Linked DNA regions of Oryctolagus cuniculus. Each later gene encodes a partner of the first gene's protein in a complex. Links are inferred from orthologs where the notes say so. Each region holds a gene or a part of one and is shown on either strand. Other genes may lie near its edges.

Region 1 (14,924 bases):
TCCACCTTTCTTCTCTTTAAATCATCAAATATTGTGCATTTAGCATGTGCTATGCATAGGAGGTTATTTTAACCTTTTCTCATCCACCTTCCCTGAACTTCCTAAGTACCCAACCTGATGCTATAGTTTGCTAACTTAATTTTTAAACTGAAAAATAAGAGAATCATAAACATTAAATTGCTCCTAATTCTGAGTCTCCCTGGCTTCTGTCAGGAGCTTAGAGTGGAAACGTGGCAGGGGCAGATAGCAGACACCGAAGAACAAGGTCTCAGGTACTGACGGTGAGTGTGTGACCAGGGGACAAGGTCTGAACACCCGATAGAAATGAGCAAATATTTGTAGAGATTGCATTCCTTACTGATAACGGGGGAAAGCAAATACCCCCTTCCTCACGGGACAGAGAATTGGGCAGAATGGGAGCAACCAGCCTATCAAGGCAGTCTCAATTATCAGTGACTGGGCTGTGTGGTGATGTGGGGCCCCTATAAGTGGGTGGACGTAAAACAGAGGAAGCCCCTGGTGACCTGAACAGAGGGGAGACCATGTGGGAGCACCGGGGTTGACTTTTCTACTTCTAGGTCTTTATGTGAAAAGAAGTGTGGAGGTAAGTGGTGGATGAGCGTCCACTGAGTGTTGGGTTCCTTTCGCACCACGGCTGGTACAGAAAACGTCTGCACGGTCTCTGTCTCTCCCCTTTGCAGAGAACTCCGCTCCAGACATGTGGGGCCTCAGATTCGTCATGGTGCCAGTGGAGCTGCTTCTCTGCTACCTCTTGCTGCACTCTGTGGATGCCACTCTCCATGCAAAGCCGACAAATGTCTCAAAGCACCTTCCCTCATCCTCCCAGTCGCCCTCCTCAGGCTCCTTGTCCTGCCAGACCCTGCTCCCAAAGTCCCTGCCTGGCTTCAACCACTTGGCCCCTCTACCTAAGTTCCTGGTAGGCCTGGCTCTAAGGAGCGCCCTGGATAAAGTGGGCTGCCAGGCTGAAGCACGGGCCGTGCAACGGCAGCTCCACCACTGGGGCGGTGTGAATGCCACCCAGATCCTCATCCACCATCTTCAAGAGCTCCAGGAAGGCGGAACCACAGAGAGGCGAGTGTCCGTGGAAGCCCTGGCCTCTGCCCTGCAGCTGTTAGCCCAGGAGCAGGCAGGCCCAGAGCGGGCCCGACGCTCCCTCCCCCGTGAGAACTGTGAGAATGAGCGGGAGCAAGGTGTGTACAGCATTGTCCGGCTCTTGCCGGGAGTGGGAACCTACTACAACCTGGGCACAGCTTTGTATTATGCTGCTCATAACTGCTCTGACAAGGCCCATGAACGGGGCCAGGATGGGGCCATAGATTTGGGTTATGACCTTCTGATGGCCATGGCTGGGCTGTCAGGGGGGCCCATGGGTCTAGCCATCAGTGCTGCACTTAAGCCCGCACTAAAGGCCGGGGTTCAGAAGCTGATTCAGTATTATCACAGTGAGAAAGAGGCAAACACTCCTCCACCAGAGACTGGCACTGACAGCTTGGGAGGCTTCTTGGATGTGAGTGATTTGGAGGAAACAACCCCCACAGATCCTCTGGGCTCAGAAATGCTGAATTCAGCTCCCTACAGGCAGTGGGAGGTTTTCAACAGCTATGACTCATATCCTGAGGCTGGGAACCTTGTGATATAAAAGAAGGGGGTAACCACAGAATGAATAAATCTGACACGTTGTGTATTCTGACACGTTGTGCATGTGTGCATGTGTTCAAACCCCAAATTCAAAAGTATTACCTTGGAGGAAAGCAGTGCAAGATTTATGCATTTGTTTGAAAGGCAGAGTTATGGGGGGAGAGAGGCAGAGAGAGAATCTCCCATTCACTGGTTCATTCCCCAAACGGTCATCTCGGCTGCAGCTGGACCAGGTCAAAGCCAGGAGCTTCATCCAGGTCTCCCAGGTGGGTGCAGGGGCCCAGGCCATCCTCTGCTGCTTTGTCAAGGGCATTAGCAGGGAGCGCGGAGGCCGGCGTTGCAGACAACGGCTTGATCCACTACGCCACAACGCGGGCCCCAAAACGTAGGAAATTAAAAGGATTCTGCTTTGAGCCCAAGCGCCTCTCGTTAGTGCCTGCGATCACTGACTTGTAACTCCTTTCTGGAAACTCGGTTTTTAAATGTCTAAGGTGGGAATAATTTTCACCTGCAGAGTTTTTTCCAGTGGAAACTGACAATCAGGGTACCGACAATAAATTGTTTATTATTTGGGATTCATTACCTCAGTGTGTCCCTTCCACTCCCAAAGAGTTAAACTTCTGGTTCCACCACTTCCGGTCGAGTTTTTAGTGCTTCCAGAATTCTCAAGATGGTTTCGGTTCTCCAGCCCCGGCGCGGGTTCTCGAAAATCAGCTGTTTTGAGTCCCCGGCTGTTCCGCTCATTGGACTCCTCCCCGTCGCGGGCGCGGGGTGGGACCTACTTGGGCGTCTTGACCAATCACTGGAACTGTAGGTGTGGTTCTGGCGCAGTTTGTTCCGCCCTGCGGAGAGGACGGATTTGTGGCAGCGCCAATGAGCTCGCAGCCTGGGGGAAGGCTCGGTGGAGTGGCAGCCCGCGTCGAGGCGCCGGCTGGGGACTTCGAGCCCCGGGTCTTCAGGCGCCGGTCCAGCCCACTCGGAAGGGGCGGGCTCAGGTGCCAGACGGAATTTGTGAGTGGGTGGGCGGTACACTTTGGTATCTAGCTCCCTCAGGGGACGGAAAGTCGCGTCCTGAGCCACTGGAAGGAGCGGGGACTACGACCCTCACAGGTATGGGCCTTGAGAGGGTGTGCGAGGAAGAGGTGGGGTAAGAGCGGCTGGCTCCAGGGGGTGCGCCCCGTTGGGGACAACTTCTGTCCTCGGTTTGAAGTAGGAGCTGTCTTCGTGCGGGGTCTCTCGCTCTTGTCCGTCCAGCCTAGCTCCCCAACCCTAACGCCCCTTTGTCAAAACTCCCCTGCTGCCCGAGACCCGGCACCTAGCATTATTGCATTGGTTTGATGTCCAACGTATTTGCCTATGCACTGCATTATTTTTTGAAAGATTTATTTATTTGAAAGTCTGAGTGACAGGGAGAGAGAGATTTCTTCCATCCACTGCTTTACTCCCTGAAAAGACTGCAACAACCATGTTTGAGCCCCTGAATCGTGGAGCCAGGAACTCTATCCAGGATTTCCACGTAGGTGGCAGGGGCCCAAGCACTTGGGCCATCCTGGCATGCTTTTCCCACGGGGATTAGCAAGGAGCTGGGTTGGAAGTGGAGTAGCCAGGACCAGAACTGGCGCTCTGATATAGTATGCCGACAACACAAGCAGCATCACTCACTGCACCACAACTCTGCCCCTGCTGCATTATTTTTGATCCTTACCAAAAAAGTGTCCAGAGATAGATATTTTTTATCATCTTTGTTGCATAAAAAGGTACAAAGAACTAAAGTGCAAAATGATATGCTTAAGGGAACACGCAAAATCCATTTCATTTCAGAAAAGTTTGTTGAGTGCAAAATATGTGCCAAAAAATGTATTACAGTCACTTACCTCGATGTTTGCAATCTGGGGAGATCAGGTTTTGTTTTGCTTGTTTGTTTTCATATTTAAATCTTGTTCCTTTAATATAAGCCTTTTAGTTCCTCCAGAATAATGACCTCCTCATTGTTTAAATTTATTATCATTATTTAAATTTCTTAAAAGCAGTAGAGATGCATAGGTTAAAAATTCAAACTTTACTGGAAGAATTAAAATGAAAATTAGGAGCTTCTGCCTGAGTTAGAAGGGCAGCTGGTGTTAATTCATGCATTGTAATAAAAGCAGGTGACATTTTTAGACCACAGATGTGCCCGTTTATTCAGTTCTGTTAGGCTCAAGCTGCAACAAGAAGTAAGTTTTAATTTCCTGAAAAGATATAAGATGGCTGTGGCCACAAAAAGGTGGGGGGAAATATACAAGGCACAACCTGTTCCATGACAAAAAGGAGTTTCAAGTGAGATTTCTGAGTCTTCCCAAAGTTGATAATCCATATGGAGAGCCGAGATTGAATGAGGCCATAAAAGTGTCCGAGTCTAAGAGACAGAGTGGCAAAGTATTTAACATTCTTCCACCGTGGAATTTGTCCTTCCTACCTGGAGGGCAGTTTGAGGAACATTTATTTGATCTCCAAAAAGATTTCATCCCCTAAAACAGCACCAGGCCAGCAGGGATCATGCTGTAATAAATACTTAGGACTGACATCGATCTTTACTCCAGTATAAACACATATGATCACAAACAAATTCAAAATAAAGAGGGTGTGAAATGAGACAGTAGGAATATTAATGTTTCTTGAGGGTGGATGATAAGTACATGGATGCCTTGTACTATTTTATTTAAATTGATGGGGCCAGAGTTGTAATGCAGCAGGTTAAGCTGCCTCCCCCAACACCTGCATCCTATATTTGTGCACCAGTCTGAGTCCTGGCTGAAACCCCGTTTTGATCCAGCTCCCTATTGCTGCACCTGGGAAGGCAGCAGAAGATGGACCAGGTACTTGGGCCCTTGCTACCTACATGGGAGTTCCAGGCTTCTGGCTTCAGCCTGGCCTAGCCATGGCCGTTGTGGTCATTTAGGGAGTGAACTGGCAGATGAAGATCTCTGTCTCTCTCTTTGTCTCTGCCATTCTGCTTTGAAATAAATAAATGCTTAAAAATATTTTAAGTTAGTAATCAATTTATCCTGACTGGACTTTGCATACCATACACACGTGGGGCAGGTGTTGTGGTGCAGCAGGTGAAGACGCTGCTTGCGATGCCAGCAGCCCACATCAGAGTGCTGGTTTGAGTGCCGGCTGCTCTGCTTCTGTTCCAGCTCCCTGCTGATGTGCCTGGAAAGGCAGCAGATGATGACCCAAATACTTGGGCCTCTGCCACCCACATGGGAGACCTGGATGGTGTGCTTGGCTCCTGGCTTCAGCTGTCCCAGACCTGATTTTCTGAACCATTTGGGGAGTGAGCCAGCAGATGGGAGATCCCCTACTCTCCCTCTCTCTTACTTTGTCCTTAAACTAAGTAAATGTTTTTAATATATATATACATATGCTGAAACATCACATAGTACCATAAATATGTTCAATTTTTATATGTAATAAGTATGATTTTTACAATTTAGTCCTGCAAAAAACTCAGTTGGAATCTTGCATCCTTCCATCTCGAAGCCCAGATGGCACAGTGGGAGATGCTGCAGGATCTGGACGGCCCATATCAGGATCTGCTACACCAGCTGTACTCACATAGCCTCCTGCCAGTGGACATTCGACAGCACTTGGCTGCCTGGATTGAAGACCAGAACTGGTGAGAGTTTCAGTAGGTTGGAGGAGATAAAGGAGGGTTTTGTTTTTTTTTTTTAAGACTTACTGTATTTATTTGAAAGGCAGGGTTAGAGAGAGAGAGATCTTCCATTTACTGGTCCACTCCTTAAATGGCTGCAATGACTATGGCTGGACCAGGCCGAAGCCAGGAGCTGGGAGCTTCTTCTGGGTCTCCCACACATGGATGCAGGGGCCCAAAGACTTGGGCTGTCTCCACTGCTTTCCCAGGCGCATTAGCAGGGAGTTGGATTGGAAGCAGAGCAGCTGGGACTCGAACCAGTGCTCTGATAGGGGCTGCCACAATGCCAGCCCCTGTTTCTTTCTTAGGAGTGCCTAAGATCCTGGAGATGTCAAAAGCAGGAAGAGGTTGGGAGGGTTCAGGGCAGAAGCAACCTTGTGGAGACACTAATGCTGTTCCTGGCCCCCAGGCGAGAAGCTGTGCTGGGCAACGATGATTCTAAGGCTACCATGCTGTTCTTCCACTTCTTGGAGCAAGTGAACTTCGAGTGTGGCCGCTGCAGTCAAGACCCTGAGTGCTTGTTGCTGCAACACAACTTGAGAAAATTCTACCGGGACCTTCAGGTACTGGGAGAAGCTGAGACTATAGGGTAGGACTGGAAGCCAAGTGTAGAGTAAGGTTTGGGGTATAGCATGGTACCTGGAAGTACAAAGAGAAGAGCATGGATCTGGGGAAAGAACACAACATGAAGTTGGGGAATCTGCGACAGAGGCTAGATGACACCATCGGGAGGGTGGCCGGGTTTAGGAAACCCAATGGTGAAAAGGGAAATGGCCAGGACCCTGAAGGAGGGGGAACTACAGGGGACAGTGTGGGGAGGGTCAAGGGTGGCAGGACACTAAGAGGGGTCGAATTAGATTATTCCTTCCTCTTCTCCCACCCTAGGCCTTCCCCAGAGGCCCTACCCAATTGGCTGAAATGATGTTTAACCTCCTTTTGGAAGAAGAAAAAATTCTGAATCAGGCTCAGAGGGCCCAGATGGTAAGAACAATCTGCTGGTGGTGTTGGAAGCTCCTGGAGTAGGGAGTGACCGTGAGAAGGACTCTTAGAACAGGATTCCCCACTATATTCTGTGGTATAGTTTCAGGTCTGGCCCTCAGGGCCCAAAGGTCGGAATTGAAATATGCTCAGTCTCTTGTTTCAGGAGCCAGGCCAGCCGGCTCTGGGAGCACCTGTGGAGAGCCAGCAGCATGATATCGAGTCCCGGCTCCTGGATTTGAAGGCTATGATGGAGGTTGGTCAGTGTGGCAAGAGACGGGGCAGGCAGGGCTTATTCTGTGGCCTCCCTCAAAACAAGCCTCAGTGGGACCCCATCCCCTCCGCAGAAGCTGGTGAAGTCCATCAGCCAGCTGGCAGACCTGCAGGACGTCTTCCGCTTCCGCTACAACACACAGGCCCAAGGTCGGGAACATCAGATGGGGGAGAACAGGAGGGGAAAGCTCCAGGGAGTCAAAGTCAACCTTGACTCTTAAGAGGTAGCCAGAAAGTAGAGGGGAGAGAGCCCCTTGACTGACTCTGGCTCCTGTCGTTCAGGGAAGGCAGCCTGTTCGGATCCTCATTGGAACAGACAGCAGCAGCTACTGCAAGAAACCCTCAATGAACTGGACAAAAGGAGAAAGGTGGGCGGGGGGGGGGGGGGGGGGGGCAGGACACTGAGAAAATGGGAGGGACCCGGGGGCTCTTGGTCCTGGCTGCTTCTTCTCAGCATCCCCAGTTGCATGGTGGAAGCTTCAGGTGAGAGGCACTCGGCACTCTTGCTGTCTCTCTTCCAGGAGGTGCTGGATGACTCCAAAGCACTGTTAGGCCGACTGACTACCCTCGTCGACCTGCTGCTGCCGGAGCTGGATGAGTGGAAAGCCCAGCAGCAAAAAGCCTGCATTGGAGCCCTCCAGCAGCCTGGGCTGCAACAGCTGGAGAAGTGGTGAGATGCACCTCCCCAGCCCTGGTCCTTGCCGTGCAAGTTGTAGATAGCCCTGTATGTAGCAGATGTCGCCCGCTGTTCTCTGCTCCCCACAATGATCCCAGCTCACTGCAGCTCTACTCCGCCCTTCACCCTCACCACCCAGGGAGCCCACAGCTCAGTCCTTGCTTTGGTCAAAGTAGTGGATTAATCCATAACCTGACTTTTTTTTTTTTTTTTAAGATTTATTTTATTTATTTGAAAGACAGAGTTAGAGAGAGAGGTAGAGACAGAGAGAGAGGTCATCAATCTACTGGTTCACTCCCCAGATGACCGCAGCGGCCAGAGCTGCGCCGATCTGAAGCCAGGAGCCAGGAGCTTCTTCCAGGTCTCCCATGCGGGTGCAGGGGCCTAACAACTTAGGCCATCTTCTACTATTTTCCCAGGCCATAGCAGAGAGTTGGATTGGAAGAGGAGCAGCCAGGACTAGACCCAGCACCCATATGGGATGCCCGTGTTTCAGGCCAAGGCGTTAACCCGCTGCGCCACAGCACTGGTCCCTGGCTTCTCATTTTTTAAATCACTGCCTAAATAGATTTTCTTTTTTTTTTTAGAAGATTTATTTATTATTGGAAAGGTAGAGTTACAGAGAGGCAGAGGCAAGAGAGAGAGAGAGAGGTTCCTCATCCGCCAGTTCACTCCCCAAGTGGCCGCAGTGGACGGAGCTATGCCAATCCGAAGCCAGGAGCCTGGAGGTTCTTATGGGTCTCCCTCATAGGTGCAGGGACCCAAGGACCTGGGCCATCCTCTACTGCTTTCCTAGGCAGAGAGCTAGACTGGAAGTGGTGCAGCCGGGACTTGAACCAGCACCCACTTGGGATGCCAACACTATGGGTGGTAGCTTTACCCACTATACCTCAGTGCTGGCCCCTAGATTTTCTATTTTTTTAAATTCAGTACAGTGAATATAGGGGTATTTTTAAAATTCATGGAAAATGGAATTTGTGTGTGTGTGTGGAGACATTTTTTTAAAAAGATTTTATTTTATTTATTTGAAAGAGTTACAGAGAGAGGTAAAGACAGAGAGGTCTTCCATCCGATGGTTCACTCCCCAGATGGCCACAATGGCCAGAGCTGTGCTGATCTGAAGCCAGGAGCCAGGAGCTTCTTCTGGGTCTCTCACGTGGGTGCAGGGTCCCAAGGACTTGGGCCATCTTCTACTGCTTTCCCAGGCCACAGCAGAGAGCTGGATCAGAAGATGAGCAGCCGCGACTTGAACCAGCGGCCATATGGGATGCTGGCGCTTCAGGCCAGGGTTTTAACCCGCTGCGCGATAGCGCCAGCCCTGGAAAATGGAATTAAAAGAGCAGTTTTTAGGGGAGACCTAATGGTTAGACTACCAGTTTGGATTCTGTATTGGAGTGTCCAGGCTTGAGTCCTGATTCCAGCTTCCTGCTAATGCACACCCTGGGAGGCAGTGATGATGGTTAAAATAATTGGGTTCCTGCCATCCATATGAAATAGTCTGGATTAAGTTCCCAGCTTCTGGCTTCAGCCTTTGCCCAGTCTTGGCTACTGCAGGGAGAGGCATTTAAGGAGTGAACCAGCAGAGAGGAGCTCTGTCTCTCTATTCATCTCACTCTAGTATCTATTGCCTCTCAAATTAAAAAAAAGAAAGAAAGAAAAAAGAAAAACAAGATTATTTCGGTGCATAAAATTTTGAGATGCATGCTTTTTTTTTCATTATTTACGTTTCCATAACTTTGGGGGGTGTTGTTGAGTGGCAGAGACAGATAGAAAGAGCTCCTATCTGCTGGTTCATCTTCCAAAAGCCTTTAGTGGCCAGGGTTGGGCTGGTCTGAAGCTGAGCACCTAGAACTTAGTCTAGGTCTCCATATGGGTTACTAAGGATCCAGTTGCTTGAACCACCACTGCTGCCTCTCAGGGTCTGCATTAGCAGTAAGCTGGAGTCAAGAGCTAGAGCAGAAACCGAACACAGTTTCTGATGTGGGACGTGGACCTCTTAACCACTAGGCTAAAATGCTCACCCCTCCGGAACTTTCTGAAGACCCCTTGTACAATCCCAAACAAGAAAGTGACCTGTTATCTTACCACCCAGATGTAGTTCATTAGAAATCGATCCATGTTGTTCATGCTATTTTGAAACCTGTTAGTTTGTTTTAACTTAGCAATATATTATGATATTTATCACATTACTTCTTTTTTTTAAGATTTATTTATTTATTTGAAAGGCAGAGCTACAGAGAGGCAGAGGCAGCAAGAGAGAGGTCTTTCATCTACTGGTTCACTCCCCAGTTGGCCACAACGGCCAGAGCTGTGCTGATCTGAAGCCAGGAGCCAGGAGCCAGGAGCTTCCTCCAGGTCTCCCACACAGGTGGAGGGGCTGAAAGACTTGGTCCATCCTCTACTGCTTTCCCAGGACATACCAGAGAGCTGGATCGTAAGCAGAGCAGCCAGGACTCGAACCGGTGCCCATATGAGATGCCGACAGTGCAGTTGACAGCTTTACCCACTACACCACAGTGCTGGCCCCATCATGCTCTCAGTGCCAGCCCATACATACATTTAGGTTATTTTCTATTTCTTACTATTTTATTCCTATTAAACTATTTTATAGTAATTTTTTTTTTTTTTTTTTTTTTTTGACAGGCAGAGTTAGACAGTGAGAGAGAGAAACAGTTGAAAGGTCTTCCTTCTGGCCGGCGCCGTGGCTCAATAGGCTAATCCTCCGTCTAGCGGCGCTGGCACACCGGGTTCTAGTCCCGGTCGGGGCGCCGGATTCTGTCCTGGTTGCCCCTCTTCCAGGCCAGCTCTCTGCTTTAGCCCGGGAGTGCAGTGGAGGATGGCCCAAGTGCTTGGGCCCTGCACCCCATGGGAGACCAGGAGAAGCACCTGGCTCCTGCCTTCGGATCAGCATGGTGCGCCGGCCGTAGTGCACTGGCCACGGCGGCCATTGGAGGGTGAACCAACAGCAAAGGAAGACCTTCCTCTCTGTCTCTCTCTCTCACCGTCCACTCTGCTGTAAAAAAAAAAAAAAAAAAAAAAGGAAAGGAAAGGTCTTCCTTCCGTTGGTTCACCCCCCAAATGGCTGCTACGGCCAGCGCACTGCACTGATCCGAAGCCAGGAGCCAGGTGCTTCCTGCTGGTCTCCCAAGTGGGTGCAGGGCCTAAGCACTTGGGCCATCCTCCACTGCCTTCCCGGGGCACAGCAGAGAGCTGGACTGGAAGAGCAGCAACTGGGACTAGTATCCAGCACTCCAACCAGGACTAGAACCTGGTGTGCCAGTGCCACAGGCGGAGGATTAGCCTAGTGAGCTGCAGTGCAGACCTATAGTAATCTTATAATATGTAAATAAATCACTATTATATCATTCAACAAGTTTGAAAAATACCTACTGTAAGGTCGCCACAAAACACCAAACACAGATTAAGGGAAAGGTTTATTGTCAGGTAAGGGAAGCCCGATGGGCCAGGAGGAGAGGGCAAGAGAGTTAAGAGAGAGAGGAATCAGGAGAGAGAGAGCATGCATGCTGGAAGCAGGTCCTGTTAAACCTTTGCCAGGGGACAGGGAAGCAAATCCCATTAGGGTGTGGGGTTGGAACTGACATTAGTGGTTGGGCCATGGGGCTTGGTGACCAAGGCCAGGGATAAGATGGCGCCCGGGGCATAAATGGCACCACAGATAATAAGACTTTGCCATTTTACTAACACCTACACTTAAAAGTATTTTCTCATAAGAAAGTTCATTATAATTCAAACTTTTAAAAATGTATCAGGGGCTGACATTGTAGTACAGTGGGGTTAAGTCACTACTTACGATGCTGGCATCCCATATCAGAGTGTTAGTTTGAGTCCTGGCTGCTTCACTTCTGATTTAGCCTATTTTTTTTTTTTTTTTAAGATTTTATTTATTTGACAGGTGGAGCTAGAGACAGAGAGAAAGGTCTTCCATCTGCTGGTATACTCCCTAAAGAGCCACAACTGCTGGAGTGCAGGGTCCTAAATACTGGGCCATCTTCCACTGCTGTCCCAGGCCATCAGCAAGGAACTGGATCAGAAGAGGAGCAGCCAGGACACAAACCAGAGCCCATATGGGATGCCAGTGCCACAGTTGGAGGCTTAGCCCAATGCACCACAGTACTGGCCCCTAGCCTACTGTTAATGCAGACTGGGAGACAGCAGGTGGTGGCTGAAGTGCTTGAGCCCCTGCCACCCATGTGGGAGGCCAGGAAGGAGTTCCTGGCTCCTGGCTCTAGTCTGGCCCAGTCCTGGCTGTGGCAAGTAAACCAGTAGATGAAAGACCTCTGTTTCTCTGCCTAAAAAATCAATAAATATATTTTTAAAAATAAATAGAAATGTACCACAACTGTCCATGTAAGTTGAAAACCAGGTACGCAGCCAGCGCTTAAACTTCAGTTGTGAGTGTATCTATCCGTATGGGGTTGACAAACTGCAGCCTGCCTGTTTTTTTTTTTTTTTTTCTAAGATTTAATTATTCTCTCTCTCTCTCTCCCTCCCTCCCTCCCTCCCTCTCTCGATCTGTCTTTTCCCCTTTCTCTGTAACTCTGCCTTTAAAAAAAAATAAATCTTTTTTTTTTTTTTTTTTGATAGGCAGAGTGGACAGTGAGAGAAAGGTCTTCGTTTTCCGTTGGTTCAGCCCCCAGTGGCCGCTGAGGCCAGTGTGCTGCGGCCAGCGCACTGTGCTGATCCAAAGCCAGGAGCCAGGTGCTTCTTCTGGTCTCCCACATGGGTGCAGGGCCCAAGGACTTGGGCCATCCTCCACTGCACTCCCGGGCCACAGCAGAGAGCTGGACAGGAAGAGAAGCGACCGGGACAGAATCCGGTGTCCCGACCTGGACTAGAATCCAACGTGCCGGCGCCGCAGGCGGAGGGTTAGCCTATTGAAAGAGAGAGATCTTCCAATCGCTGGTTCACTCTCCAGATGGCCGCAACTGCCAGCACTGGGCCAGGCTGAAGCCAGGAGCCAGGAGCTTCTTCCTGGTCTCCCTCCTCTACTCCTTTTCCCAGGCCATTAGCAGGATTGGAAGTGGAGTAGCCAGGATGCTTTCATATATCCCATGAAGCCCGTATGGGATGCTGGCATTGCAGCATCAGCTTTACATGCTATGCCACAATGCCAGCCCCTGAACACACTTTAAAAAACTTATTTATTTGTTTGAAAGACAAGGTAACAAAGAGGAAGACAAAGAGAGAGAGAAAGAGAGAGAGAGGTTGGTGCTATGGTACAATGGGTTAAAGCCTTGGCCTGAAGTGCCAGCATCTCATATGGGTACCGGTTCTAGTCCCAGCTGCTCCTCTTCTAATCCAGCTCTCTGCTATGGCCTGGGAAAGCAGTAGAAGATGGCCCAAGTCCTTTGGCCCCAGCACCCACTTGGGAGACCCGGAAGAAGCTCCTGGCTCCTGGCTTCAGATAGGCACAGCTCCAGTTGTTGCAGCCATCTGGGGAGTGAAGCAGCAGATGGAAGACCTCTCTCTGTCTCTACCTTGCTCTGTAACTCTGTCTTTCAAATAGAATAAAATAAATCTTAAAAAAAAAAAGAGAAAGAAAGGTTGATTGATTTTCCATTTGCTGGTTCACTCTCCAAATGACCACAATTGGCATTCTCAGGAAGTCCATGAAAGGGTTGCCCACATGGGTGGCAGGGGCCTAAGTATTTGGACCATCCTCCACTGCCTGTCCAGGTGTGTTAGGGAGCTAGAGCAGAGGGGACTCAAACTGGTACTTACGTGGAATGCCAGCATCTCAAGCAGCATATTAACCTGCTGTGCCACAATGTTGCTACTACCTTCCAAATTTTTGTTTTAAGATTTATTCAGTTTTTTAATGTTTATTTACTTGAAGTTCAGAATTACAAAGAGAGGGACAGACGTACAAAGAGATCTTCCATTCACTTCCCAGATGGCTGCAACAGCCGGGGCTGTGCTAGGCCGAAGCCAGGAGCCAGGAGCTTCATGCAGGGAGCAGGATCAGGAATAGAGCAGCCAGGACTTGAAGCAGCGGCTGTTTGGGATGCTGGCATCGCAGGTAGCAGCTTAACCTGTTGTGTCACAACACCAGCCCCTATTCATTTATTTGAAAGCAGAGTTACAGAGAGAGGGAAAGAGAGATCTTCCTTCTGTTGCTTCACTCCCCAAGTGGTTGTGACAGTCAGGAGTGGGCCAGACCAAAGCCAGAGCCCTGGAACTCTATCCAGGTCTCCCATGTGAGTGGTAGGGGCCCAAGCACCTGGGCTGCCTTCCGCTGCTTTCTCAGGTGCATTAGCAGGACTGGATCAGAAGTGGAGGAGCTGGGACTCGAACTGTCACTCATATGGCATGTCGGGGTCATAGGCAGCTGTTTAACCCAGTGTGTCACAACACCAGCCTCCCAAAAAATGTTTTTAAAGGTAGCTCCAAACAGCCTCCCAGAAAAGTTGTCCAATCTATTTTATCATATGTAGTATATGATTGTTTTCCTGTTACAACATTGCTTATGATTATTGTTACTTATTGTAGAGACAGTAAAGTTCGGAGTTAAAAGTATGGATTCTGCAGCCTGTCTGCCTAGGATCCCATAAAAGCTTTATCCCAGGGTCTGTGCTGTGGTGTAGTGGGTAAAGCCACTGCCTGCAGTGCCAGCATCCCATATGGGCGCTGGTTCAAGTCCTGGCTGCGCCACTTCCAATCCAGCTCTGCTGTGGCCTGGGATAGCAGTAGAATATGGCCTGGGTCCTTGGGCCCCTGCACCTACACGGAAGACCCAGAAGAAGCTCCTGGCTCCTGGCTTCAGATTGGCCCAGCTGTGGCCATTGCAGCTATTTGAAGAGTGACCCAGTGGATGGAAGACCTCTCTCTCTTCTCTGCTTTTGCCTCTCTGTAACTCTGTTTTTCAAATAAATAAATAAATCTTTAAAAAAAATCTTTATCCCTTACTATTGTAGTTTTAAGGCCTTGAGCAAGTCACTTAGCTGTTCTATACCTCAGTTTTATCATCTGAAAGATGGAGAAAACTTACAGTACCTAGCTCATAGGATTGCTGTTAGGATGAAATCCATTAATATGTATAAAGTATCGGGGCCAGCGTTGTGATACAGTGGGTAAAGCCGCCACCTGCAGTGCCGGTATCCCATATGGGCTCCGGTTCGAGACCCGGCTGCTCCACTTCCAATCCAGCTCTCTGCTATGTCCTGGGAAAGCAGTGGAAGATGGCCCAAGTCCATGGGCCCCTGCACCTGCATGGGAGACCTGAAAAAAGCTCCTGGCTCCTGGCTTTGGATCAGCCCAGCTCTGGCCATTGTGGTCATTTGGGGGAGTGAACCAACAGATGGAAGACATTTCTGTCTGTCTCTGTCTCTACCTCTGTGTCTCTGTAACTCTGCCTTTCATATAAATAAATAAATCTTTGAAAAAAAAGTGCTTAGTATAAGCCATACATAGCAAGTATCATATGGAAGGTAACTGTTATGTGATAAGCCTTTTATCGGTTTTATTTGTTTTGAGAATGGCTTTGATCTTCATGTCTGGGTGTAGGAATTATACTGAGTAATCTTTCATATGCTTCCAGAGTTCTTTGTCCTCTTCCCCCGAGTTTCTGACTGCCCTGATAGTTAGAGGTGAGCTCCAGGAAACTCAAGGGTTCCCTCTCCCTGG
Region 2 (14,687 bases), on another chromosome or scaffold:
TGGGCAAATGATAGGAGAACCTGCTGTGAGATTGTTCATGGAGGAAGGCCCTTTTCCCAGCCTCAGCTGGCCCTGTTTGTTTTCTTGCCTTCTGGCCCTGCCCACTTCTGCAGCCCCGCCCCTGACCCCAGGTCCCTGTCCCACCTACCCTTAGAGCAAATACTAGGGAGAGGTGGGGGTGAAAGGTTGGTGAGTAAGGTTGCCGAAGTATCTCTGAAGCAGATCTGTCTCTGTGGATGCTGGAGACTGGAAAAGGTGCTTTACCAGTAACGAGACACCAAGGGGGAGGCAGGTTTTTTAAGTATAAATCTTCCTTTTTATTTTTTTAAAGATTTATTTGTTTGAAAGTCAGCAGGGCCAGCGCTGTGGCTCACTTGGTTAATCCTCCACCTATGGCGCCGGCATCCCATATGGGCACCGGGTTCTAGTCCTGATTGCTTCTCTTCCAGTCCAGCTCTCTGCTGTGGCCCGGGAGGGCAGTGGAGGATGGCCCAAGTGCTTGGGCCCTGCACCCGCATGGGAGACCCAGAGGAAGCACCTGGCTCCTGGCTTCGGATCAGCGTATCTCCGGCCGTGCAGCCATTTGGGGGGTGAACCAACGGAAGGAAGACCTTCTCTGTCTCTCACTGTCTAACTCTGTCAAGTAAATTGAAAAAAAAAAAAAAAAAAAAAAGTTACACAGAGAAGGAGAAGCAGAGAGAAAGAGGTCTTCCATCTGCTGGTTCACTCCCCAGTTTGCTGTAATGGCCAGAACTGTACCTACTCGTAGCCAGGAGCCTCCTCTAGGTCTTCCCATGCGGGTACAGGGGCCCAAGGACCTGGGCCATAGCAGAGAGCTGGATTGGAAGTAGAGCAGCTGGGACTTGACTGGTGCCGGCACTGTAGGTGGCAGCTTTACAGCTTTACCCGCTACGCCAGTGTGCTGGCCAGAGGCAGGTGTTTTGTACAGTGGTTGACACTGCTCAGGGCGCCTGCATTTCTGTCGAGTGCCTGGGTCTGCATCCTGGCTCTGCCTGGTGTTTTAGCTTCTTGCCAATGCACGTCCTGGCAGGCAGCAAGTGATGGCTGAAGTAGTTAGGTCCCTGCCACCCACGTGGGAGAAAGAGACTGAGTTCTGACCTGGCTTCAGCCCCTGCTATTGTGGGCACTTGGGGAGTGAAACAGTGGATAGAAGATTTTTCTCTGTGTCTCTCTGCCTTTCAAATAAAATTTAAATTTTAAAAAAGACACAGGGAATTCTCAAACTGTAAGTTCCCTTAAAATCGATTCTGAAGGTTCCTTCCAGATATCACAGGTTGGAATGTTAAAAAGCATAGGTTTTGGTAACTGCTGGTCACGGCGGCAGTGAAACACCTCTGCCTCGGGGAAGAGTGAGATTCATCGAGAGCCGAGAACTGGACGGGGCCTCTGGGGGCCATTGCAGGAAGCTGGCCCCAGTGACTAGGGTCTTGGCAGGTGTGCCCCCTCCAGCTATCGATTCTGATGTCTCTCCCTTCTCTTGTCCCCCTAGGATGGGATCGGGCAGGGCACGATGCACCCGGAAGCTCCGGAACTGGGTGGTGGAGCAAGTGGAGAGCGGGAAGTTCCCAGGTGTGTGCTGGGACGATGCAGCTAAGACCATGTTCCGGATTCCCTGGAAACACGCGGGCAAGCAGGACTTCCGGGAGGACCAGGATGCCGCCTTCTTCAAGGTGAGGGCAGGGAAACAAGCAAGGGATGGATTAGACAATGGTACGCTCACCCCTGGTGCTGGTGTCTGTTAGGGTTTCAGATCCAGGGCACGTTGGCAAATAGAACCAGCTGTGTCGTTTGCAGAGCCTGGTGCAATGTGAAGGCGCAACAGTTATTAAGTGAAAATTCAGAGCTTATTAAGGATTTTGAGATGGCAAAAGCAAAGTACACATGCAGCCCAAGCTGGTTTGAGCCAGGGGCCCTGCACAAGTGCTCAGGCCACAAGCCCGTGAGCCAGCCCTGTGGGAGGTGCAGCCGGGCTCTGTAATGTGCAGCCTCCTGTTCACTTGGTCTCTGTAGGCCTGGGCCATGTTTAAAGGCAAGTACAAAGAGGGAGACCCAGGAGGCCCTGCTGCCTGGAAGACTCGCCTGCGCTGTGCCCTCAACAAGAGTTCTGAATTTGAGGAGGTTCCCAAGAGAGGCCGAATGGATGTTGCTGAGCCCTACAAGGTGTATCGGCTGCTGCCACCAGGAACTCCATCTGGTGAGTGTCCCCTTGCCCAGCCACGCCCAGAACCAGCAGACCAGGGGAAAGGACAGAGATGTGAGCTCTGGAAAGGTGGCAGGCCTCCGGAGGCTATCAGTTCTGCCCTGACCCTGCCCTTGGAGAGCTGCTCCCAGTTCCCCTTCCCAGTCTTGCCCAGCCCTTCACTCCCTCAGCCCTTCACCCTCTTTTCCTCTTGAACACCTGACTTTTCTCTCCCCCTCAACAATTCCACAGCCCAGCCAGGGACCCGGAAATCAGCATCAAGGCGACACCACAGTTCTGTGTCTTTTGAGAGGGAGGAAGATGAGGGTATCACAAGCAACTGCATGGTCAATCCCGCCTCCCTCCAGGACTCCCTGGATAACGTGAGAACTGGCGAGGGAGCTGGGTGGGCCTGGGGGCAGGAGAGTACCTAGGACTGGGGGAGATTGGCCAGTGACAGGTACTGTGTGTGCAGGCAGAGATGGTGGCCACTGGGGAAGCAAACCACTCAGACGCCGGGAACAGCAGCAGCAGTAGCAACGGCGGTGGCAGCCCAGAGCCACAGGAAGGTACCACCTCCCGGGCTTCTTATGTCATCCCACTTGCCACAGCTACTGGCCCAAGGGCTCCCTAGCCCCACTCTGACCGGTGCCTTCGCCTTCCTTCCAGGTGCGAATGTAACTGAGGCTGCTGTGCAAGGGGATATGGTGGCCTCGGAGCTTCTGCTCCCTCCAGACCCAGGTTCTTAGCATTTCTGAATCTTTCTTGCTCTCTGTGCTCCTGGAGCCTTCCTCCCCTCCCCACGCATGCGTTATCTAGCCAGTCAGGGCGTGCAGCAAACTCTCCCATAGGCAGAGGTGCCAGCCTCCACAAAGCTTGCTCCTCAGAAACACTGCTGTGAACTCTGTTGCCTGGATATCCGTATGGAGACCTGATTTCTTTGAGGTAAACAGAGGCCCCGCCTTGAGGGACCTTGTTGTGAACCATAAGACCTCAGGGTGGATACGGACCTTAGCTATCTCCTGAGTGGTAGGAAGCCCCCGGTTGGTGAGAGAGCCCGGGGAATGATGATGAGGAGAGGCTGCCACCCCCGCTTCCTGGCCTGCCTTGTCTTCTCCGGCTGGGTTTCCCTTCCTGGGTCTCTGTCCTCAGCAGCAAAATGAGAACCTTGGATTTGCAAGGAGCTTCGTTTCCTTTCCCTAAAGCCTTGTGCGGGCCAGGTGCCCCTGGAGAGGGGCTGCCAGCCGTGAAGCCCTCTGGCACCAGGTACAGCTGGGCTCTTCTGTCCCCAGACTACTCGCTGCTGCTCACCTTCATCTACAACGGGCGTGTGGTGGGTGAAGCACGGGTGCACAGCCTCGACTGCCGCCTCGTGGCCGAGCCCTTAAGCTCTGAGAGGAACATGGAACAGGTGGTGTTTCCCAAGCCTGACCCCCTGGAGCCCACCCAGCGCCTGCTGAGCCAGCTAGACCGAGGCCTCCTGGTGGCCAGCAACTCCCGAGGCCTCTTTGCTCAGCGGCTTTGCCCCGTCTTCGTCTCCTGGGATGCACCGCAGGTCCCGCCTGGGCCAGGCCTGCATCTGCTGCCCAGCAATGAGTGTGTGGAGCTCTTCAAGACTGCCTACTTCTGCAGAGGTGAGGCTGCTCCGGCTGGGCCTCTGAGCCCCTACCCTCTGACCCGGGCCCCTCAGTAGGCCTTGGGCTGACCTGGCGGGTCCTGCTCCTCCCTGCCAGCCAGCAGCTTCCCCACTGCGGCCTGTGCTGGGCACCCCTGCACTCGTTGTGGCACCTCCTCTGTGGTCCTGTGCTCGGCGCTGGCAGCTGCCTGGCCCCTCTCCTTCCCCCGTCAAGGCTGTGGAAGATGGCATTGGGGTGGAGCCTGGTACAAGAGCATTGCTTCTCTGGGAGCACTATCGTCACCCTGAAGCTACTTATGCAGAGGTGTGGGCAGGTCAGCACGGGCACTGGGAACCTCACAGCCCTCTCACATCTGCGCTGGCCTGCAGAAGCATTGGCACATGGTGGGGAGCGGACACACCTGCCGCACCCTGGCCCCAGCTATGCCTGTCTCAGCTACACTCGAGGCATCCCTGAAGCTTGTCTGCAGCTCCCATCCACTCAGAATTCCAGGTCTAGGCCCACTCGACTAAACCTGACCTTCAGGGCAGGCCAGAGTTCAGGGGAATTGGGGTGTGGGTATTCCCAGGGTGTGGATGCCTCAGCACTGGGAGAGTGAGCAAGCGAAAAAAGCTGGAGCACATCTGCGCTGGCAGCTGGGCGTCTGTCGTGGAGGACTCAATTCTGGCTGGGGCGAGCCTTTGTCGTGCGGAAGGTCTGCTGCCTCCAGACACTTATTCGAGGCAGGGCCCCACCTTCCTGTTTGCTCACAGATGAGTAACAGCTTCGTGCCCGACCTTCGTCCTGAGCCTGCAGCTTAGTCTCCTGGTGGCCCCTCCCACCTCTCTATTCCCTCCCGGCCCGTGGTTCTCACTCCTCTCTCTTCTTTCCTCCAACCCTCGATCCTTTCTCTTTCAGACTTGGCCAGGTACCTCCAGGGCCTGGGCCCCCCACCCAAGTTCCAGGTGACACTGAATTTCTGGGAGGAGCGCCCCGGCCCCAGCCACACTGCACAGAGTCTTATCACAGTGCAGGTGAGTTCAGAGCTCGGACAGAGTAGCTTGGGTGATGGGGACGGGAAAGAGTTCAGGGAAGGAGCTCCTTGCGGGGCGCACCTGCCATGCTGCACTCGCTCACAGCCTCTTTCCCGTCTCTTCTGATGCAGATGGAGCAAGCTTTTGCCCGACACTTACTGGAGACCCCAGAGGAGCAGGCAGCCATTCTGTCCCTGGTGTAGGGCATGGGAACCCACCTTCTGCCCCACCCCTCCGCTCCCACTCCTGTCTCCCTTGAAACAGACTCGTTGTCTGCACTGTTGGTCAGTGCCTCCCTTCTTGATCACTCTCAGTGCTGTGGTAGTTACGTCCTTGAACTCCTCACATCGTGGCTGGTGGAGAGCTCAAGGATAATTTTTATTTTAAACACATTTTTTGAAATATACCCTCTTTCATCTCTAAAGGACTGGGAAATTCCAAATGATGTGAACTCAGGGGGCCTCTCCTTCTTCCCTCAACCCTCAACTCTAAAGCCAAGCACTTTATATTTTCTTCCTAGGTCTTCACTAAGAATTAAAAATAAAATTTTATTGAAAGAGGAATCAGCATTCAGTTTGCCGGGAGGAGAAGGTGGCAGGGGCGACGGGCGTGACTGAGATGTAGACTTAGGGGCAGGGCACCTGAGTTCTCCTCTGCTGACCTCTCTGAGGCCCCTGTCCTCTTCTTGGCTCTGTGCTTCTGGGCCTGGCGAGGTGCCCTCCAGGCAACCAAGATTAGGGAGAGGACTGATGGCAACCGTCAAGGGGGGTGCTGAGCCTGTACCCAGGCGCTGTAGCCACCAACTTCACATGGGAAAATCTGGGTTCCACAGTTCTTTGTTGAGGCGCGGGGGCCTTGCAGGGAAGAGTCGCTGCCCCTCCTCTGCTTGCCACTCCTGCCTCTGTGCTTCTTCCCCCAGCACAGCTGATAGACGGGAGCTCCCAAGTGGATTTCTCTCCGCACCGGAGCCCCAGAACACAGTGCGGCCGAGTTTCACGTCGCCAACACCCTGCTCACTGAGATGGGAGGGCTGCCCGTCTCATCCCCGCGTTCATTTTGCCACCACACTGGAAATGCTCCCTTCCCAAGGCCACGTGGCGCCTACTTCCTGTAGGCTCAGTTCCACCAGACTGCTTCCACCTGCCTGTTCGCCACAGCCTGGAGCTTCCCCTCCTGCACGGACACGGGTTGGCTCCCCAGACTTCCTGTCATGTCACCCATAAGCTTTCAGCAGCTCACCCAAGTGACCGAGTGTAGACGCCTTCACGGTCCTCCCAGGGTCTCCGTGCTGTCCCTCTTGAGGAGCTTCACTGCTGCCTCAGACCCCTCTCCCTTCTCCCCTCCAGTCTTGTCCGCCACGCGCTGGGAAGCCAAGAGCCTAAACAGACCTCTGCACCGGTAAGGAAGAAATCTGGTGCCCAAGCCCATGGTCCCCCCAGCGCACTGAAATCACTCCCAGACCTTCTTTGTGCAAGATCTAAATTACCTACATCAGTTCCAAATTTTCTCATACCCCACATCCAATCCCTCAGCAAATCCCACCATCACTGTACTTTCAAAATCTCCAGAATCTGACTACTTCTGTCGCTTCTATCACCACCACTTTGAAACACACCATCATCATTTCTTGAGTGCCTTCTTCATGCTTTCTTGTTACTTTTTTGTTTGTTTGTTTGTTTGTTTTTGGACAGGCAGAGTGGACAGTGAGAGACAGAAAGGTCTTCCTTTTCCGTTGGTTCACCCTCCAATGGCCGCTCCACCCGGCATGCTGCGCTGATCCGAAGCCAGGAGCCAGGTGCTTCCTCCTGGTCTCCCATGCGGGTGCAGGGCCCAAGCACTTGGGCCATCCTCCACTGCCCTCCCAGGCCACAGCAGAGAGCTGGACTGGAAGAGGAGCAACTGAGACAGAACTGGCGCCCCAACCGGGACTAGAACCCGGTGTGCCGGCGCCACAGGCGAAGGATTAGCCTAGTGAGCCAGCTGAAGCGCACTGGCTGCAGCAGCCATTGGAAGGTGAACCAACGGCAAAGGAAGACCTTTCTCTCTGTCTCTCTGTCTCTCTCACTGTCCACTCTGCCTGTCAAAAAAAAAAAAAAAAAAAAAAAAAAGGCAGCCAGGACACAAACTGGCATCCACAAGGCATACTAAGTGTTGGAGGTGACACCTTTACCTGCTATGCCACGATACTGGCACCTGCATTTATTTTCATTTTTTATTTGAAAGGTAGAGATCATCCATGGCTGGTTTACTCCCCAAATGCCTGCAACAGCTGGGGCTGGAACAGGCTGAAGCCAGGATCCAGAAACCCCCTCTGAGCTTCCCACGAGGGTGACAGGAACTCAGGTACTTGAGCCACCATCTGCTGCTTCCCAAGTGCATTAGGGAGCTGGATTGGAAGTGCAGTATCCAGGACTTGAACCAGCAATCTGATAGGGAATGCCGGCACTGCTGGTGGTGGCTTAATGCACTGCACCACAATGCTTGCCTCCAGTCAGAAGTCTTCCATCTGCTAGTCAAATCCCCAGATGGCCACAGTGGTCAAGGGCGTGCTGGGTGGAAGCCAGGGGCCCAGAACTCAATCTGGGTTTCCCATGGGAGTGGCAGGGACCCAAGTACTTGAGCCACTGTCTGCTGCACCCCAGGGTGTACATTAGCAAAAAGCTGGATCTGAAGTGGAGTAGCCAGGACGTGGACCAGGCACTCAGATACAAGCTGTGGGCTCCCCAGGCAGCAACTTAACCGCTGTGCCAAACCACTACCCCTCCTTGTTTCCTAAACTGGGTTCTAAGCACCTTAAGGGCAGATGTCCCCACTCCATCACCTTTGTGCCCCCAAACTGAGCACTTAACAAATGTTGACAACTTTTATACAATATTCCAGCAATTTGTAAGTATCACGGACAAAGCGATGTAGCCAAGCACAGTGGAATAGAGATTGGGAAGATTTTGGAATTTGAAAGAGCAGAGAGTTCCAAACCAGGCTCTCCCTGAGGAGCTGTGTGGTCTGGAAGAAGCAATCTGCATGGACCCCTGTTTCCTCATCCATAAAGGCAGGCCCTGGCCCAGACCAGCCTTGACCTTCCGCAGTTGTAAATATAGGGCAACTGTGCATTCATTTGCCAACTAATTGCTGCGCTGGAGGCCAGGCACTCACTGAAAACATTACGACCCCAGTCTTCAGAGCTCTCAAATGGAAGGGAACTGCAGCAGGACAGGTCAGCTCCGCTGCAGCGAGGCCCAGGGCGTGGGCAGAAGCACAGGACAGGGAAAGGATTCCAGGCCAAAGAAATGGCTGTGCAAAGGCAGGAGGTGCAGCAGTAAGAGCTATTTGGAGCTGCGACCAAAGAACCCGAGTTGATGCAAAACCAACTGTTTGCGACAGAACGGTATTTGGAGGAGGAGGAGAAGGACTTCCAACAAAGCTAAAGTCTAGTTCAGCCAGCAGAACATTCACATTCACAACCCCAGAAGGATCAGGTTAGGCCGTGAGTCCGGCGGGGTCTCCCGCTGTTTCCGGGGAGATAGACTCCCGGGGGCTCCAAGGCCACCCTGCGCCACCTCCCTAGCCCAGGCCCTAGTGGCACGCGGAGTTGGACTTGGTGGAAAGTGGGGGGCAGGGCAGGGTCTAAACCCAGGTCAGGAGCCCGCCTTACATCTTGCCATCCTGAGCGGTTGCCCCCCGCATGACCCGACCTCCCCTACGACCAGTTGCACTTTGTTACCAGGCTTGCTGCGGGTCGGAGCGGGGTTTGCTCCCCGCTCATTGGTCTGCCCGGAAGCGCCTCCCAAAAGTCCTTGTTACTAGAGGCGAAAAACAGAGCCCATTGGTCAGGACACCTCACAATGGCCCTGGCAAGGCGCAGGGTTCTTCTGATTGGTTCTGTGCCTGTCTTGGGCAACCCTGTGGCCTCGAACCCAGGCAGCCTGCTTGGCGCCGGTGGGGGAAGAGCGCTCGCACCCGACACCTGCTTGCCATTGGCTGGCCGGGCGCTGCCACCCCGCGGCGGGGCTCGCTCCTGCGCGAGGGCGACCCCTGGTGGCCGAGACCAAGGCTTTGGAGCCCGGCGTCTCTCCCCGGCGTCAAGGACGAAGGCTTGCTGCGGGACCAGCCCGGTTGCCAGCCCTGCCTGGCCTCCCCTCGGAGCTCCAGTAAGGTCGATGGCTGTACGCGGTGCGTGAACCCACTAAGGGCGCGCCGAAAGGCGGCCCTGTCGGCCCCCTTCACGTTGGTACACCAAGCGTAGCTCTGGGGTCCTCCCGCAGCGCCACCTGTGGAGGCCAGTGCCAGGAGTTAGGATTGGAATCCCATCGCCGCAGCGGCGGGGAAGCCCTGAGGGACGATGTTCTACTACCCCAACGTGCTTCAGCGCCACACCGGCTGCTTTGCCACCATCTGGTGAGGACGCGGCCGGCCGGGCGGCGGGGACGGGCTCCCGGGGCTCCAGGTCTGATGCGGCCCCGGCTCCTCGCTGCTCCCTCCAGGCTGGCGGCGACACGTGGGAGCCGCTTGGTGAAGCGTGAATACCTGAAGGTGAACGTGGTAAAGACCTGGTAAGGCCGGGAAAGGGGGGAGGGGAACGGCTGGGGGCCGTCGTGGGCACTTTGGTGGTCACGGTGCGTTGTTCCCCGCAGCCAGGAAATTCTCAATTATGTGCTGGTCCGAGTGCAACCGCCGCAGCCCGGCCTGCCGCGGCCCCGCTTCTCCCTGTATCTCTCAGCGCAGCTCCAGATCGGCGTGATCCGGGTCTACTTCCAACAATGCCAGTACCTCGTGGGTAAGGCTGGAGACCCCAGTGGCAGGCAGAGCCAAGAGGCCCTCCCTGTGCTGGTTCCACCTTGCCCTCCTTGCCCACAGAGGACATCCAGCACATTCTGGAGCGCCTGCACCGGGCCCAGCTGCAGATCCGCATCGACATGGCCGAGCCTGAACTGTGAGCACCGATGCAGGGCTGGAACCGCCCAGCCCTGGGGGAAGCATCGGCCTGCTCAGCCTTGGGCCTTGTTAACCCACATTCTCTCCCAGACCCAGCCTGCTGCTTCCTGACCACCTGACCATGATGGAGACCCTGGAAGATGCTCCGGACCCTTTTTTTGGGGTCATGTCTGTGGACCCCAGACTGCCCAGCCCTTTTGATATCCCTCAGGTAGGGCTCATTGGCCCAGAACAGCTCAGACTTGTGAGCTGACCGTGCAGATGGGGAGTCCTGCCCCTGTGCCAGTCTGACCCTGGGGTGGGGGAAAGGGAGCCTGCCACAGCTCTCCCCAACAGGGCACGGTGCAGGGGCACCGCCATGCTGGACCCTCCAGGCAGAGGGCCTTCGACTTAGCTACTCAAGGCCAACCTGTCTCAACTCCACTCATCTCCACGTTACCCCCACTGCCCAGACCCTCATCATCTCCACCTGGGCTTCCTGCCCGTGTCCTCCTCTGTCCATTCCCGACACTGCTATGGTTCACGCTGTGCCCCCTCTCCCTGGCTCCCTGCTCGAAGTAGCTTCCAACTGCAAGCTGCACACTAGCAGCTGGGGTTCTCCATGCTGAGGTCCAGGCCTAGCCATCCCAGCTTGTCTCAGCACGGCCCCTGGCTCCCAAATGCCAGTCTGGTCCCTACATCCCAGAGATGCCACATTTCTTAGTCCATGATGGTCACTGGCCATTCTCTATTGCTCAAGCTCTGTAAATCCTTACAGACCTGGCTTAAAGGCTACCTTTTCCATGAAGTCTTTTTTTTTTTTTTAATATTTGTTTATTTGAATGTTAGGAGTTATACATAGAGAGGAAGAGATCTTTCATCAACTGATTCACTCCCCAAATAGCTATAATGGCTGGAGCTGGGCCGGACCAAAGCCAGGAGCCCGGAGTTTCTTCTGGATCTCTCATGTGACAGCACAGGCCCAAGCACTTGGGCCATCCTCCACTGCTTTCCAGGCACATTAGCAGGGAGCTAGAGTGGAAGTGGAGCAGCCGAGACATGGCTTTACCTGCTATGCCACAGTGCCATCTGCTTTCATGAAGTCTTCATCCCCCTCCCAACAGAACCCAGTGCTATTCAGGAACTCAGTACAGCTCAGTACTTTCCCAGGGGCCTGTCTGATCCTTTGCATGGACTCTTGTTGGGGTCATATACAAACTGGTTTCCCTGCCTCGGTCCCTCACAGCAGTTCACATAGGGCATAGTGCTTCTTGCACAAGACACACTGACAAAGGCTAGAGAACTGGAGGTGGGGTGGTGAGGGCAAGGAGGAAAGCAGACCAGACAGCCAGTGGGCTCACTGCATGCTGCTGGCGATGCAACAAGAATTAGGCGTAGGGGCCAGCGCTGTGGCATAGGGGGTTAAGTCTCCGCCTGCAGTGCTGGCATCCCACATGGGTGCTGGTTCGCATCCCGGCTGCTCCTCTTCTGACCCAGCTCCCTGCTAATGGACCTGGGAAAGCAGTGGAGGTTGGCCCAATTTCTTGGGCCCCTGCACCCATGTGGGAGACCCAGATGAAGCTCCTGGCTTTGGCCTGCCCAGCCCCAGCTGTTGTGGCGTTTGTGGAATGAACCAGCAGATGGAAGATCACACTCTCTACTTCTCTCTGTATCTCTGCCTTTCCAATAAGTAAATCTTTAAAAACAAACAAAATTGGGCATAAAGGGCACCAGATCACTGTCCACTGCCTGTTGTTGCACAAGTGGGAAAGCGGGGGGCTGAAGCTGAACTGTCCTCTTTTGCTCCCCATCCTCCTCCGAAGATTCGACACCTCTTAGAGGCTGCAATTCCAGAAAGAATGCCTGAGGAGGCCCCTCCTGAAGTCCCTGCAGAGCCCAGGAAGCCAGGTCAGCAGAGAGAACTTCTGGTGAGAGGCACAGGAAGGGCCGACCACTGAAGGAATGACTGGATTTAAGAGCCAGGCCCGTGTGTGTGTGTGTCACCTCCTCTGTGCCTCACCAGAGTCCTGTGAGGTCAGGATCCTTAACCCCACTTTACCGGTGAGGAAAGCGAGCCTAACAGTGGTGAGCACCCAGGGCTGGGCCGCTGGTAACTGGCCTGGGCCTGCCCAGAACCAGGTGGACTTGACTCGAGTCCCGTGAGTGTGGGAACAGATATGGTGGGGTGGGTGTGACTCCCCAGTCCCACCAGACAGGATCTTGTTCACAGTGCTGCCCCCTGAGGTCATCACCCTCCAGGAAGCAGAGCCCATCCGCATGCTGCATATTGAGGTGAGGTGGCCCCCAGCATGACCTTCTCCATCTCCCTGGCCTCATCCCTGTCTCCTGGGGCCCCGCCCCATGGCATGCCACACCCCTTGCCCGTCCTCTCCCTGCAGGGCGAACGGGACCTCCCGGAGGTCAGCCGCCGAGACTTGGACCTCCTCATTGCAGAGGAAGACGAAGCTATCTTATTGGAGGAGCGACGGCTGGCCAGGCTGAGGGCCCGCCCACCACCGGAAGGTGGGAGCCCTGGCTCGGGCAGCCTGGGACGGGGCAGCGCTCCCGTGGCCTCCGCCCCTGAGTGCTGATCCTCTCTCTGCAGAGGCCGTGGAGGAGCCCCGGGCCCCAGAGCGCGACATCACAGTGCCCCCTCTCTCGCCTCCAGCTCCCGTCCAGTAAGGGCAGGGATCCTGCACCAGGTGGCGGGCCCCGTGCTGGTTAGGGCAGCCGGGCAGCCTGACTTCTCTTGCCCGTTGTCTCCCAGGGTGGAAGGGATAGCAGAGCCAGTTCCAGTCCCGGTCCTGGTCCCCGAGGAGGTGAAGCTGGCAGCCTGGGAGCCCGGGGCCCCACCCATGGGTGAGTGACACCACAGCTGCTGCAGACAAGGCCACACGTCCACTTGCCAAAGGGAGGACGACAGTGCGGGGGCGGGCAGGACAGAACCATGACCCCGGTGTTGTTACAGAGGTGACCCCATCGCCAGAGCTACGTCTGCCGCCCCCACCCAGCCCGAAGGTGAGTGTTCCTCCTCCTCAGCGTCCCTCCTCTCCCAGAGCTGCTTCCCCAAGCCCAGTGACACTGCTGGCTCCCCTGGGGCCTGGCTGAAGAGCAGTCCAGGATGCTGCTTTTCCACACCCCATCATGTGGCCTGCACGTCCCAGCTGGTCCCTTCATGCAAGGTGTCAGCCGCACGTGTGGGCGGCCGTGCCCTAGCCCTTCCCCCAGGCACCTTAAGGGGGTGGGCGGAGCGTGGAGCTGTAGCAGCCACCAGGGTGACAGGAAGGGAATGACGCCTGGTGGCCCCTTCCTTCCCCGCTCTGCAGAAGAGGCCCCCAGGGCCCCCATCTCCCAGGAGTCCCCCTGCTCGCCGCCGCCGCCGCCGCCAGTTACTGTTCTGGGACAAGGAGACTCAGATCTCCAGGGAAAAATTCAAAGAACAGCTGCAGACCAGGGCCCACTGCTGGGAGTGTGTGAGTGCGGCCCTGGGAGGGCACAGGTGTGGGCTGGGGGCGGGGCCTGGGAACCTGATGTGGGTTTGCACCTCCACAACTTGCCGTGCTGCGTCCGCGGCCCCACCTGGCACATTCACAGGCACCCGGTAGTCCTTTAGCACGAGCAGGGCAGGCAGGCTGTAGTCTGGACAGGTAGGTGAAGGGGCGCCGAGGCGTGGCTTGCTCCTGAGGCTCCTGTCTCCTGCCACCACGCAGCCCATGGTGCAGCCTCCGGAGAGGACCATCACAAGCCCCACGGAGCTGCTCCGGACCCCGACGTACCGTAAGGAGGGCGGGGGTTGGGCGCAGGGCTCTTCAGGACCGAGTCCTCCCTCTTGGTGACAGGGCTCTGTCGCCACTGCCCCTTCCCCATCAGCCGGCCGGCTTCCCCTGGAACTACTGGCTTTGTGGACCCGCTGTGCCCAGACCCCCGCAAGAGCGCTCAGGCGAAGGCCGCCCGAGGAGGTGGAGGAAGAGGAGAGAAGGGCTGAGGCTGTCAGTGAGATCGAGGTACCCACACCCCACCCCTCCGCCCCCGCCCAGCGCACGCTGCAGGCTCACTGGCCCCGGACGCTCGTGAGGCCGGGGTCTGAGTTCTCCTCCTCCCGTCTCCAGGTCCTGAGGGAAGCCCAGGAGCCCAGCGGTCCCCTCATGGTGTCTTCAGGTAAGCTCGGGGGAGGGGTCTGGGCCCGCCCGTGGCCCAGCTGTGAGGGACTGGGGTGAACTAACGCAGGGCACTCTCCAGTCCTCCCGCCCGGAGGGGGCTTCCCGAGCCTGTGGGAAAGCGCTGATAAGAGAGAACACAGCTTTTCCCAAGGCAGCACACAGCACAGACAGCTGGTCTGGCTGGGTGCCCCAAGGCAGACTGCTCAGTGCCAGTCACACTCCCCTGGGCCCCCTGCCGCCCCCACAGAGCTCTCCCTGGAGCCCGCCGAGGAGGAGAAGTCGCGGATCAGCCTCATCCCCCCAGAGGAACGCTGGTGAGAAGCCAGGCTGTGTAGGCCCAGCCTGCAGTGTAGCCACCGGCTAGGATGGGCGTGCCCTGATCCCAGCCACAGCGCCGCCTTCCAGCTCCACTCAACTCCCATGTCTCCCTAGGGCCTGGGCTGAGATGGAACAGCCAGAGCCCCCGGCGTTGCCGGTGGTGCCGGAGCTCCCAGAGGTGCCCTTGGAGATGCCCTCCGAGCTGCCACCAGAGCCTGAGCTGCTGTCCCTGGAGGCTGTGCACAGGTGCTGGGGTGGGGGCGCCTCCGTGGGGAGGGCCAGGCTGGGGCCTTGCTCACCCTTCTCCATCCCTACAGGGCAGTGGCACTGGAGCTGAGGGCCAAGCGGGAGCCTGACTTCAGCAGCCTGGTGTCCCCGCTCAGCTCCCGCAGGGTGGCTGCGCAGGTCTTCTACCTGCTCCTGGGTGAGTGCTGGCCGTGTGTGCACA

Evidence for each region.
Region 2: the proteins of STAT2 (region 1) and IRF9 are in contact, whole or in part, in a crystal structure (PDB 5OEN), measured with the Mus musculus proteins. The link is inferred for Oryctolagus cuniculus from reciprocal best matches to the Homo sapiens genes STAT2 and IRF9. Residues at the interface, in NP_064347.1 of Mus musculus: Arg163, Gln164, Lys166, Asp167, Glu168, Asp170, Val171, Phe174, Arg175, Thr177, Val178, Phe179, Leu181, Lys182, Asp188, His190, Gln191, Gln193, Gln194, Leu197, Thr201, Lys204, Met208; in NP_032420.1 of Mus musculus: Leu206, Leu208, Tyr212, Leu233, Asp234, Arg236, Ser244, Glu245, Ser246, Ser247, Met248, Asp270, Arg271, Leu274, Val275, Ala276, Asn278, Ser279, Arg280, Phe283, Val284, Gln285, Leu287, Cys313, Glu315.

What each region holds. Positions count from the first base shown.
Region 1 is NC_091442.1:59,163,550-59,178,473, reverse strand, and holds the start of STAT2 (signal transducer and activator of transcription 2), read left to right. Parts: upstream 1-2,544; 5' UTR 2,545-2,769; intron 2,770-5,135; exon of another isoform or gene 5,136-5,181; 5' UTR 5,182-5,186; coding exon 5,187-5,317; intron 5,318-5,762; coding exon 5,763-5,916; intron 5,917-6,238; coding exon 6,239-6,334; intron 6,335-6,497; coding exon 6,498-6,587; intron 6,588-6,678; coding exon 6,679-6,754; intron 6,755-6,886; coding exon 6,887-6,972; intron 6,973-7,125; coding exon 7,126-7,274; intron 7,275-14,924. Other genes in the region: APOF (apolipoprotein F), read left to right, coding at 719-1,660. UniProt on the Homo sapiens protein: Signal transducer and activator of transcription that mediates signaling by type I interferons (IFN-alpha and IFN-beta).
Region 2 is NC_091443.1:51,022,998-51,037,684, reverse strand, and holds the end of IRF9 (interferon regulatory factor 9), read left to right. Parts: intron 1-174; exon of another isoform or gene 175-255; intron 256-1,510; 5' UTR 1,511-1,511; coding exon 1,512-1,691; intron 1,692-2,031; coding exon 2,032-2,215; intron 2,216-2,452; coding exon 2,453-2,583; intron 2,584-2,660; coding exon 2,661-2,769; intron 2,770-2,869; coding exon 2,870-2,941; intron 2,942-3,492; coding exon 3,493-3,834; intron 3,835-4,734; coding exon 4,735-4,850; intron 4,851-4,981; coding exon 4,982-5,053; 3' UTR 5,054-5,413; downstream 5,414-14,687. Other genes in the region: meiotic recombination protein REC8 homolog, read left to right, coding at 9,190-9,245, 9,332-9,400, 9,482-9,624, 9,705-9,780, 9,873-9,993, 11,585-11,669, 11,992-12,053, 12,161-12,284 and 10 more.